Cricetulus griseus: one gene and its partners. The protein of the gene in region 3 interacts with the protein of the main gene of each other region in a biochemical or structural test. Links are inferred from orthologs where the notes say so. Each region holds a gene or a part of one and is shown on either strand. Other genes may lie near its edges.

Evidence for each region.
Region 1: the proteins of nucleophosmin (region 3) and Hmga2 interact in far-western blotting, tested with the Homo sapiens proteins (2 studies listed by BioGRID). The link is inferred for Cricetulus griseus from reciprocal best matches to the Homo sapiens genes NPM1 and HMGA2.
Region 2: the proteins of nucleophosmin (region 3) and Gadd45a form a complex in vitro, tested with the Homo sapiens proteins (2 studies listed by BioGRID). The link is inferred for Cricetulus griseus from reciprocal best matches to the Homo sapiens genes NPM1 and GADD45A.

Annotation. Positions count from the first base shown.
Region 1 is NW_023276806.1:136,301,333-136,305,081, reverse strand, and holds the start of Hmga2 (high mobility group protein HMGI-C), read right to left. Parts: upstream 2,806-3,749; 5' UTR 2,664-2,805; coding exon 2,544-2,663; intron 2,445-2,543; coding exon 2,358-2,444; intron 1-2,357.
Region 2 is NC_048601.1:76,185,431-76,189,179, forward strand, and holds the start of Gadd45a (growth arrest and DNA damage-inducible protein GADD45 alpha), read left to right. Parts: upstream 1-1,420; 5' UTR 1,421-1,589; coding exon 1,590-1,633; intron 1,634-1,717; coding exon 1,718-1,819; intron 1,820-1,914; exon of another isoform or gene 1,915-1,934; coding exon 1,935-2,172; intron 2,173-3,074; coding exon 3,075-3,188; 3' UTR 3,189-3,749. UniProt on the Homo sapiens protein: In T-cells, functions as a regulator of p38 MAPKs by inhibiting p88 phosphorylation and activity.
Region 3 is NC_048600.1:48,346,839-48,350,587, reverse strand, and holds the start of nucleophosmin, read left to right. Parts: upstream 1-1,323; 5' UTR 1,324-1,439; coding exon 1,440-1,497; intron 1,498-2,956; coding exon 2,957-3,036; intron 3,037-3,439; coding exon 3,440-3,559; intron 3,560-3,749. UniProt on the Homo sapiens protein: Involved in diverse cellular processes such as ribosome biogenesis, centrosome duplication, protein chaperoning, histone assembly, cell proliferation, and regulation of tumor suppressors p53/TP53 and ARF.

The DNA of each region.
Region 1 (3,749 bases), on a different chromosome or scaffold from region 3:
AGAAGATTTTCCATTTCCTCTTGCATGTTTTAAACTACATAACTCTTTCTAAAAAGATTTTCAGTTCAAAACCATAATGAGCATAAGCCTTATAAGAAGACAATACACAATTAATAGCCTAAGTGTGTATAAAGGCATAGGAATACCCTCCATAAAAACTGATTTGAAAGTGAAACTCTTTCATTTTTACCCATTCCAGGAATGACTTATCCATGTGTCCCCACCATCATGGTCTCTAAGGGAAGCACAGTTTATAAAACTGGAGAGAAATAATAGTCATGTTCTAAGCTAATGTATTTATTTGCTTTTATTAAAAAGGGAACATTTGTAATAGAATTGTATGAAATAATATACCTTGCAGAAAGAAAGAGTTCAGAAAAAATCTTGGGGGTGGGTATTTGTATTTTAGTAATTACACAAGTATGTGTATATACAAGAATTACAGGAAGAGGGCAGCCTAGTAGGACCATCTGTAGATTCCTATGGCTAGAACCAAACATACTTGGAAATGGAAAAGCTTTTTTTTTGTTTTGTTCTTGCTTTATATGTTAAATCAGACACAAGTCTTAACTTTCCTTTTGTCCATTAAGATACTCTCAGTCCATGATGAATTTTGTATGAAATACTTTGTAAAGTATAAAGACCATGATGGAACAATTTCTACCTATTCATTCAAGTGAAAGTGTCACACAGTAACAAACACCTTCCTTTTTACATTATCTTTCAAAGCATTTATTTATGGTGAGCTTTAAAGAGTCCTTAAATAATATTATGATGAGGCATCTTTTACATATTTTACATATCTGCTGATGCCTACCAAGACATTCCTATGCTGCCCCTGAGAGCAAAAGTATCACAGGCATACAACACAGAATAATGCTGGTTGTTAGTTTGTTTTGTTTTTAAGTCCATTTTAGTTCATTTATAAACAAAAGGCAGAGAAAGCACTCATAGTAAGAACACCAGCTTGGTATTATTACTTAAATAACAAGGTTATTCAGGAACACTTGAGTGTTAACTGGTTAAATACTTACTGCAAACCTGAACTTTAAAATGCAGTTAATTCAAAAGTAAGAGAAATCTGCTCTTTCAACTCTGTTCAAAACTTTTAAAATAAAACAGCCAGAAGTCCTAATGACTTCCTACGTGGCTTTTATACATCACTAGTTGCTATGACAGGATACACCACTGAGAACCATTACATATAATGTGGTTAGTGGCTACACTCCACAGAAAAAAAAAAAAACAAAAAACAAAAAACAAAAAAACAAAACAAAACAAAAAAACAAAAACAGAATACTAATCCCCTAAAGATGAACAAAGAGTCATTTTAAACAAATGCTGTATATTTAAATCTATTGAATGAGGATGTATTTCTAATGTTTGAACTATTAGTTTCAACTACAAGACACATTTACAAATAAGATGCAAACTATTTCCAATTTTATGTATAAGACCAAAAAGTGGCATATATTCTTCATTGCTTCTCTATACAGGCATTTACTGTGGGGTACCTCCTCTTTGCTACCACACAAAACCAACATGAAATTATTTTAAAGGTTCAAATTAAAATCTGTTTTTAAAAAAGTGAATGTTGAACTTAATTGGATTCTATCACACCACACACACACACACACACACACACACACACACACACTATGAAATAAGACAATCATTTGTTTTTAAAACTTCTCATTGTTTGAAAGCATAACATTGGTGGGGAAACCTTTCGATTAGGACAATATTATCTTGCAGGTTTGTCCAGACAGTATACTTTATCACATTTAAAGCTGTATAATTCATGAAACTTTTTTTTTCAGTAACCCATAATTGGATTTCCTTTTTTAATTACCATCTATGTGACAAAGCACTTAACTCTAACAGGGAGACTTGACTTCTAGTCAACATGCAAACAAGTCCTGAATAAATTAATCTCAATTATATTTTTTCCAGAGGAAATTACAGTCATCTCATCACCAGTCAAAATATCTAACTTTGATTTATTATGAACCAGTTTACCACGGATATAAATATTAATGATATCATTTCCATCCCTGTCCCACCCAGCCCTTCCTCCACAGCCCCTCTCACCCTCCCCCCCCTTAAGATTTATATTCTTTCATGGCTTTTTTGTTTGTCTGAAATCACTGTATCTCCTGGAAACTTTTAAAGTAAGCGTCAACATGGAAAAGAAAATAAAAAAAAAAAAGAAGAAAAAAGGTTAGGACCCATCTAGCAGGAGTGATGTCTTAGGTTATTCAGCTCATCTGGACCAGTCCTGGAATGTGGGTATAGAACGGGAGAATTGCAGGGAGGTCATTGGTAACATTACAAGAACTTCACTCGAAAATTCTCACCTTCTGGGCTGCTTTAGAAGGACTCTTGTTCTTGCTGCCTTTGGGTCTTCCCCTGGGTCTCTTGGGAGAGGGCTCACAGGTTGGCTCCTAATTGGAGGGAGGAAAGAAAAGCTGTTGTGGCTAGACCGGCAGAAAGAGAATGACCCTGGCTCTGCCTGTGTTTTCTGCCTGGGCCGCTTAACAAACCTGCTGGAAGTCATTCAGTTCATGCATAGTTGGATGATGGTGGCACAGCGTTTGCACAAGTGGAGGGTGGGAGGGACATAACCATAGTCTCATGTGCTCAAGGAGAAAACTACTTTGCATGTGAAAACGAGATTATATTTTGAAATCAAAATAATAGCGAAACCTGGAGGAGTTGCAATTTTCTAGAAAGTCCCATGTTTGCAAGGTACAAAGTTTACATGGCTGTGCACTTGGCAACTCACAGAAATAATAAACATTTTATAGGACTACCACTACCATTCTACTGGGATTTCAAACAACAGAACCCAACGTCATAGAGAGCTGGAAAGATAGCTGGATACACGGAAGGGATGGCTTCCAATCACTTCTCTATACCTGTTTCAGGTGCTTTAGAATTGAACCCACACATTCCGAGTGCAGTATTGGAGCGATTATCCAAACTCTTCAGCTCGGAATAATTCCATACCCCCTAAAATTTCCCAATAATTATGGTAGATCTGAGGTGGGAGGTTTTGCTTGAATTAACTAGATAATTGCTTCAATTCTCCACTTCCTTTTGAGAGGCAGGCATAGTCTCCAGTCGAAATTTAAATATCTTTTTTAAAAAATAAACATGTTGCGTTAGAGGGTAGAAAGAAAGAAAGAAAGAAAGAAAGAAAGAAAGAAAGAAAGAAAGAAAAAGAAAAAAGTTTCGTGGGGTGCAGTGGAAATAAAAGGGGGGAGATGGGTGAGGAATGTACCTGGAAGGAGAAATTGAACTGGCCAGGTCACCAGGTACATCACCGCTTTCCTTTATTGGGTGCTAGGCTAAATAGCCAATACTCAAGCAGTTAAGAAAATGTGATGATTGATACTCCGGGGATGCCGAACATCTCTCCGGTGAATCATCTACTCTCATTTCATTCATATTGCGTGCTTAAATGAGACTAATTACAATTCACGGAACTTCTCAATGGAAGCTCGCATTCTACTTAGCGTGGGGGAAGGTTTCTTGGAAGCGTCCATTAGATACTCGCGCCAGTGGGCACTTAGAGCAAACACATCGGAAACACATTTTTCTTTGTGAGCTCGGCCTTTACTCAAAGGTAAAAACTCCCAGTCACCTCCGGATCCCCTTGCGTTTTCTTTTAGACTTTTTTTTTTTTTTAAACTGGGGGGAGGTGCGATTAGTAGAATTCCAAAAAGCTGGGTAGATGGTGGGAAGCA
Region 2 (3,749 bases), on a different chromosome or scaffold from region 3:
TGACACTCGTTCCTTTACTCAACATTGCTTCTCCGTGACAAAGCCCTTAGGGAATGAATACAAAGTCTATCTCCAATAAATGAACTAGAAAACCAACCTATCACTTTTCCATTAAGAGCAAGGAAATTGGAAAATATTTTGTCCACAAGAGAAAAATTGAAGGATGCAAAATTCATATGTACCCCTGCAAAATTTACTTCTGCTAACTATTAGCTGCACAGTGACCTCAAAATAAGCACTGTTATGAATTCAAACAGATGAGAGGCAATTTTGTTACTTCAGTTGGATCAGGCAATGCTTTTGTATTTATCAAATAAGCTCATAAAACAAAGGGACTTTTGAAGTACTCAGTAAAAGTCTACATTAAAAATTGTTTTTAATGTGTGACTCCTGCTTGCAGTTATGAAGGTTTGCCTTCCACCTACAAGTTGCCATTATCTCAAAGGTGAAATTTTAGCACATGGCTAAAATGTTCTATAGTTACAGCTTCATGATTCAGCATCAGTAATTCAGAGTGAGATCATAGGCAGTGGAAGGTGGTGTCATACTCTTTTGCCTGTGAAGGGGCGACCAGGGAATGGCATAAGCATATTGAATTTAGACTGTGGCTCCTGTGAGTACCACAATTTGTCTCTCAGCTCTTGCCTGATCAGAAGGTGCCCTCGGGAAAGATTTTAAGAATGGTAAATTTGGCTCATTAGGCATGTTGATCACCAGCTCCCCCCACCCACCTTATATGGAGTGGGCAGAAGTTTTATCAGCTTTTCGTGGAAAAGATTCCAACTTGGTACCGTGCCATCACCACACACCAGTGTGCTGGGTTTTCTATTTGGAGCTTCAAATTCTTGCACCCAACCAAAAATAAATCAAGCCAGCCATCAGGGCACCAAAAGAATACTACTGTGAAAAATCAGCATTGCCTGAAACTTAACATATAAACAACACTTCTGAAGCAAGTTTTGCGTGGCACATCCGGACACTTTAAAAATACCATCTGCTTACTAATAACAGCTACACCAGGGTGCATTAACCCTGGAAATAAATTGTAAAATCAGCCCCTTAACACAAACAACACGAGACGACCATCAAAAGATCTCCACAACTAGAAAAACAATTGGCAGGCTGTTTTCAGTACGAGCTGAGGACACTGGAACCACCGCAAAGCCCTCCTCACCAGATGGCTCCACCAACTCCCAGAGCTGGCTCAGGACCCCGCCAACCCGGTTTCTGCACCACTCTCATCCCTGGGGGCTTCCCTCCCGCGTAGCTCCGCCCCCTTCCGCTCAACTCTGCCTGGGCTGGTGGAGTTAGGGTCTGAGTGTCAAAGTCTGCTAATTTGCATAAGCCAATGGGTGCATTGCATGCAAATGAGGCGGGCCCTGATTGGCTGACGGCTAGCCCCATAACTCCGGAATCGGGGGCCTTTGTCCTCCAGTGGCCCGGAGGAAGCTGTGCAGTCCTCACCTACCGAGACTTAGGCGAGAAGCGGCGAAGCGGCGGGTGGGAGCCGAGCGAGCGCGGGGCTGGCGCCGCGCACTGGGGGGGGCAGGAGCAGCCCGCGCGCCGCGTGAGGGACTCGCACTTGCAATATGACTTTGGAGGAATTCTCGGCCGCAGAGCAGAAGACCGAAAGGTAAGTGTGCCTGCGGACTCTGTGGCCGCTGCCCCTCCCGCCGTCGGGGACCCGGCTGACCCACTCTCGCCCTGCCGCCCGCAGGATGGACACGGTGGGAGATGCCCTGGAGGAAGTGCTCAGCAAGGCGCGGAGTCAGCGCACCATCACCGTCGGCGTGTACGAGGCCGCCAAGTTGCTCAATGTGTAAGTGGTCCCGGCCGCCCGCGCCCCTGCCTCCCGCCCGCCCCCCCGCCCGCCGCCCGCCTCTACCCCGAGCTCCCTGGACAGTGTGCACTCACCGCTGCCCCGCTGTCCGCAGCGACCCCGACAACGTGGTACTGTGCCTGCTGGCTGCAGACGAGGACGACGACAGGGACGTGGCTCTGCAGATCCATTTTACCCTCATCCAGGCGTTCTGCTGCGAGAACGACATCAACATCCTGCGGGTCAGCAACCCGGGCCGGCTGGCTGAGCTGCTGCTGCTGGAGAGCGACGCGGGCCCGGCGGAGAGCGGGGGTGCCTCGCAGCCCCCTGACCTGCACTGCGTGCTGGTGACGGTAAGGGACCCGGGGCTGCAGCCCGGAATCTGTTGGGATAGACCTCGGCAGTGCTAGACGCTGATCTCGCGGGGGTTCTGATGGTACCGAGCGTGTCTAAGCTCGTGGGTGGCCTCCAGCGGCGGAAGATAGCCCTGTGAGTCAGCAGGCTGCCCAGCTACCTCTGCCTACCTCTGCACTACCTCGCGTGACTAATTCTCAGAGCAGGACAGATTAGATAAAGCCAAATAAATTCCCGGCTCACCCTTCATTAAGAAGTCAGCTTCATTCTTCATTTGCTCTCAAAGCTAAATATAGAAATAGAGTAGGAGACAGACCTTATTAATTCGCTGGAGATACTCTGGTGTGTACAGAGTGGAATTCTTTTCTCTGAACCTTTGTATTTGTTTAGATGAGCCCCCCCCCCCACGCACACACACACACAAACACACGCCCTTTAAAAATTTCTGGTTGAATAATGTTTTCAGAGAGAAATGTGCTGTCTTGGTCTTCTGTTTTTTTGTTTTTGTCCTTTCTCTGCCTTGACTGGTGTAGGCAAGTGGCACCCTGATTACTTTTGCTGCCAGTGAAAAGTGCCATTCATCACCAGGGAAGATAAGAGTGAAGCTAAGCTGCCTGCCCTGCAGCTTTCACATGGTGTGCGAGAATGTTTTCAGAGCTATTTTACTTATGACCCTACTAGGGTGCATGCTTGATAGGTTCAACTTATGAATGATAACCTCATGCAGAATGGTACAGATAATTATGCAAAACTCTGTGGCCCAGTGTGCATTACAGGTGTTTAGATCTTGCCAAATGCTACTTAACAGAATGCTCAGGTTTTGGCCCTTTCAAAAGTAGTACAATTAGTAGCATAAGCTGATGATTTTATGGAAAAGTAATTTTTCTAAATTTGTTCTTAGAACCCACATTCATCACAGTGGAAGGATCCTGCCTTAAGTCAACTTATTTGCTTTTGTCGGGAAAGTCGCTACATGGATCAGTGGGTTCCAGTGATTAATCTCCCCGAACGGTGATGGCATCTCAATGGAAATAACTGAACCAAATTGCACTGAAGTTTTGAAATACCTTTGTAGTTACTCAAGCAGTTACTCCCTACGCTGATGCAAGGATTACAGAAACTGATGTCAAGGGGCTGAGTGAGTTCAACTACATGGGGGCTAGGAGATGACTTTGCAGATGGACAGAGGTGAAAATAAAGAAGGAAGCTGTGTTGAAACAGAAATCTAAGTCAAAAGGGACAAAAACTACAAAGAACTGTGCAAGAAAGAAAACTGTTGATTTAGGATGGCTGAGTTACATTAAATAAGCCAAATATTGCTTTGTTGAAACCTTAAATGTGTAGCAATAGTTTGTTTTTTTTTTGTATTTGTTTTTTGGTTTTTTTGTTTGTTTGTTTTTTGATCTTTATGCCCTCAAGTAAAAGGAAAGTGAAAAGGATTAATTGTATTTTAAAGCTACAGGTTAATGTATTTTGATGAGATGTTAAATTCTCAGAAATTTTATTATAAATCGGACTAAGTTATTTTATGATATGAAAGGTTATTTATGATAAAGTTTTTGAAGCACAATATCTA
Region 3 (3,749 bases):
AGACTAGAAGCCTTCGAATTTTGAATGGCCAGACTGCTCACTTGTGGTTTTCCCTTTTCCCGTTTATCTCAGTTGCTTACATAGACAGTACTTCCAAGTTTCAGGATTTACTCTAGTAGTTGTAAAGTGGAAATTCACTGGGCCCCATTCACATCTTGAGGCTGATTTTTTCCCCCCCAAATTTAGGATTTGGTTAATAATCTGCTCATACGTTTTATACTCAACTGGTCTTCCCAATTGGACCATCTCTGGAGTAAAGAGTCTGGGGGCATGAATACCATTACTCACATTCCTCCCAGTAACCTTTTCATTTGCTAGCTATGTTGAGATAAAAAGATTAGGGCTGCTCTCAGTACGCACCCAATGTTGAGGGATGTTTGTCGGGACGCAGTTTAAAATGCTATTTCCCAGCCAAAGATTCTAATCAAGGCTCCTGTATTTCTTAGAAGTCATATGCCTTCATTTGGAATGATAAGGATGACCTGCGTGTTCTCAATTCTGCACACACCTCTAAACTTTTAGAAAGGTGCTCTTTGGCCCTCGAATGACGTAAAGCTGAGAACTTAAGACTTTGGAGATGCTGCCTCAGAAAAGAGGTATAAAAAGTATGGCTGATGCCGGGCGGTGGTGACGAATGCCTTTAATCGCAACACTCGGGAGGCAGAGACAGGCGGATCCCTGGGAGTTTGAACCCAGCCTGTGAGTTCCAGGACAACCAGGGCTGTTACAGAGAAACCCTGTGTGGAAAAACCACAAAAAAAAAAAAAAAAAAAAAAAAAAAGGCTGACAAAGTGGCAAGCAGAGAATCATTCTACTAATGATCCGTCTGTCCTGCCTTTGGCTCCTGAAGCTCTATGGGAAAAGGATAAAATAAGACCAAGCCTTCGAGGAGGTCAAATCCTGAGATTATGCCTGTTGCAGGTCTACCGAGAACCGGAGGGCGAAGAACAGCGAAGGGAGTCGCCCGCTGGTTCCCGGCCGGCAGTCGCCATCTTTTAGGGTGGGCTGCGCAGCCTCTCCGCGCAGGGCCCGCGTGGAGAAGCCGAAACGTGGTAGCTTCGGAGGGCTGGAGCGCGTTACAAAGGGAAAGTGCGCCTGCGCTCGGGCAACCGCGCTGGAGGGGCGGGGCCAGAGGGAGGACGCGCGTGCGTAGTGCGAGCCCGCCAAGCACCTGGAAGAGGTGGGGAGGGGAGGTAGAGAGGCGTGGGATAGGACAGCGCTTGCGCAAGAGCGAGACAGTGCGGGAAGTGGGGGATCCGGAGCACGCTCGCGGAGGCGGGACTAGGGCAGATCTCGCGAGATTTGCTGCGGCCATATATACGTGCGGCGAGCCCGCGTCCTTTCCCTGGCGTGATTCCGTCCTGCTTGTCTGTTCTGAGGAGCAGTAGGCAGTTTCCTCCGTCCGATATCTCGCATACCGAAGTGCGCGTCTCCACCTCATGGAAGACTCGATGGACATGGACATGAGCCCTCTTAGGCCACAGAACTACCTTTTCGGTAACTGCCTGGCGGGGAGGGCCTGGGCAGGGCCTGGTGGTTGGGGGGGCGGCGGGAGTCCAGTTGAGGCCTGGCGTGTGCCAAGCGCGGCGTGGGTGGAGGCCTTTGCACGGCTGGGAGGAACCGCCTGGGCCGCGGGAGCCGAAGAAAGCCGAGGCCCGGGCGCTGAGCGGGACCGTAGCTTGGGGCGGCAGCGGCCCAGCCTCGAGCCTCTGGCGTTGAGAGGGCGGTCGGCCGAGGGTGCCAACTTGGCTTGGGGCGCGAGCAGGGGCTGTGACGACACTTTCTCTTCATACGTGAAGAAGGCCTCAGGACCTGGCAACAGGCAGCTGAAATTCAGCGCTGGGCCCCAGGCGCGTCCCGGGATAATGGTGCCTCTGGAGCGCGGCCTGCGCCGCCTCGTTGGGACGGTATAAGTGCAGTCCGCTGGGCTTTACAGGGGCTTCGGCCCCTCCTCCCCGTGCATCCGAGAGGTTCCGCCGCTGACAGGGACTCGGCCGGCCAAGCTCCCTGCGGCTGAGGGGGCCGCAACCCCTGGGAACACGTGGTTGCCACGTGGTTGGGGGTAGGGAGGGGGTGTGGGCTCTACATCCGGGCTCTCCTCACTTCTTAACCCTGGTCCTTCGGGTCCTGTGGTTTAATTAGGAGTGCTAGGCGGGAAACGCGTAAAGTGGCGCGTGGCGTCCGTGTCTTTGTTAAGATCTTGTAGCATCCACGGTGATGGTAGTGACTTTTTTTTAGAGACCCTTTAGTGCCTCTGCAAGAGGTGGAGTCAGCCCCACGCTGCCGATGACGATATTGATGGTCGAAGGGTCTTGATGTTAAGAGAGGGCCACGAAATCTTAAGTCGAAACTATCCTTTTCCCTACAACTGGTCTTTTTTTTTTGATTGGGCCGGGGAAGAGAGAGAAGTGCCTCCCGCGTTTAGCAGATTAAGGGATCACTTTGGTAACTCGGCTTCTGGGGACCCCACTGTCACTGCACATTCAGCTTATCGGTTTTACAGTCTATTAGTTTGGTTTTCAGTGACTCGAGTCAATTTTTTCAAAATTCCGAGTGTTTAAAGCACTTTCCCCTACGTGAATGAGTAGTACATGTTTAATGTACTCTAAGCATGAAGGGTTTAAGCTGTCCCTACTGGTCATGTGTAACCACTGTTGATTTGTAGTAATTTCCTTTAGAACGTAGGTAAGTTGGGTTTTTTAAAAATAGTGCTAGATAATGGTATGGTGCCACTATGCAAAAATCCAGTTTTAGGTCATTGGGTTTTCTGTGAAAAAATGGTAACGGTGCCTCATTAATTGGTCGTGAGTTACTATGAAAAAGTAGAACTTTTATTGGCTTTCTTATACAGTAGATTCCACGGAGAGAACATTTTTAAGTTAAAAGAGTAGAAGTTAATGGTCGTTTGGGACTGTGATGTTCATCTTGCTAGATTTATTTTATTTTTTCTTTACAGGTTGTGAACTAAAAGCTGACAAAGATTATCACTTTAAGGTGGATAATGATGAGAATGAACACCAGTTGTCACTAAGAACGGTACTTAAACTTTGAAATTAATTAGCCATTAGATTTCAGCCACTTGGATCTAAGTGAGGGGATTTATGTCAGTTTGTGCTTCCTTAACTGATGGAAAAATAGTATTTTTATAACTTTAAAATAGTTCACATATGTACTGGTAACAAAGAACTGGGTGTCTTTTCCACAGTCACTGTTATAATTAGTTGTCTAGTAAGGCTCTGCAGGATGTGATCTTTTTAAGTCTGTTGGCTATATTTTATTGGTTGTTTGGCTTTCTTAGGAACATACAGTGTTTTGTGTCTATGCATCTCGTAATTATATGAGAGGACTAGTTATCAGTAGTGAGAAGAGGCTAATTAAAAAATTTAAGGGGTGTTTATAAAACAACTGGGTACTGAAGGATCTTTCTTTTTGTTCACAGGTTAGTTTAGGGGCAGGGGCAAAAGATGAATTACACATCGTAGAGGCAGAAGCAATGAACTATGAAGGCAGTCCAATTAAAGTAACGCTGGCAACATTGAAAATGTCCGTACAACCAACAGTAAGTACATTTGTAAACATTGTTTTTAAAGTTGGTCTCTAAGACTGATTTAGGATAAGCAAAGATGTTTCAAATAAGTTATATCTAGTGTGAGATTATCTCTGTGGCTTCTAGATAGGTTTATTGATTATATAACTCTGTTGGTGATGCTTGGTGCAAAACATTCTTAAAACAATGTTTAATGATTGAA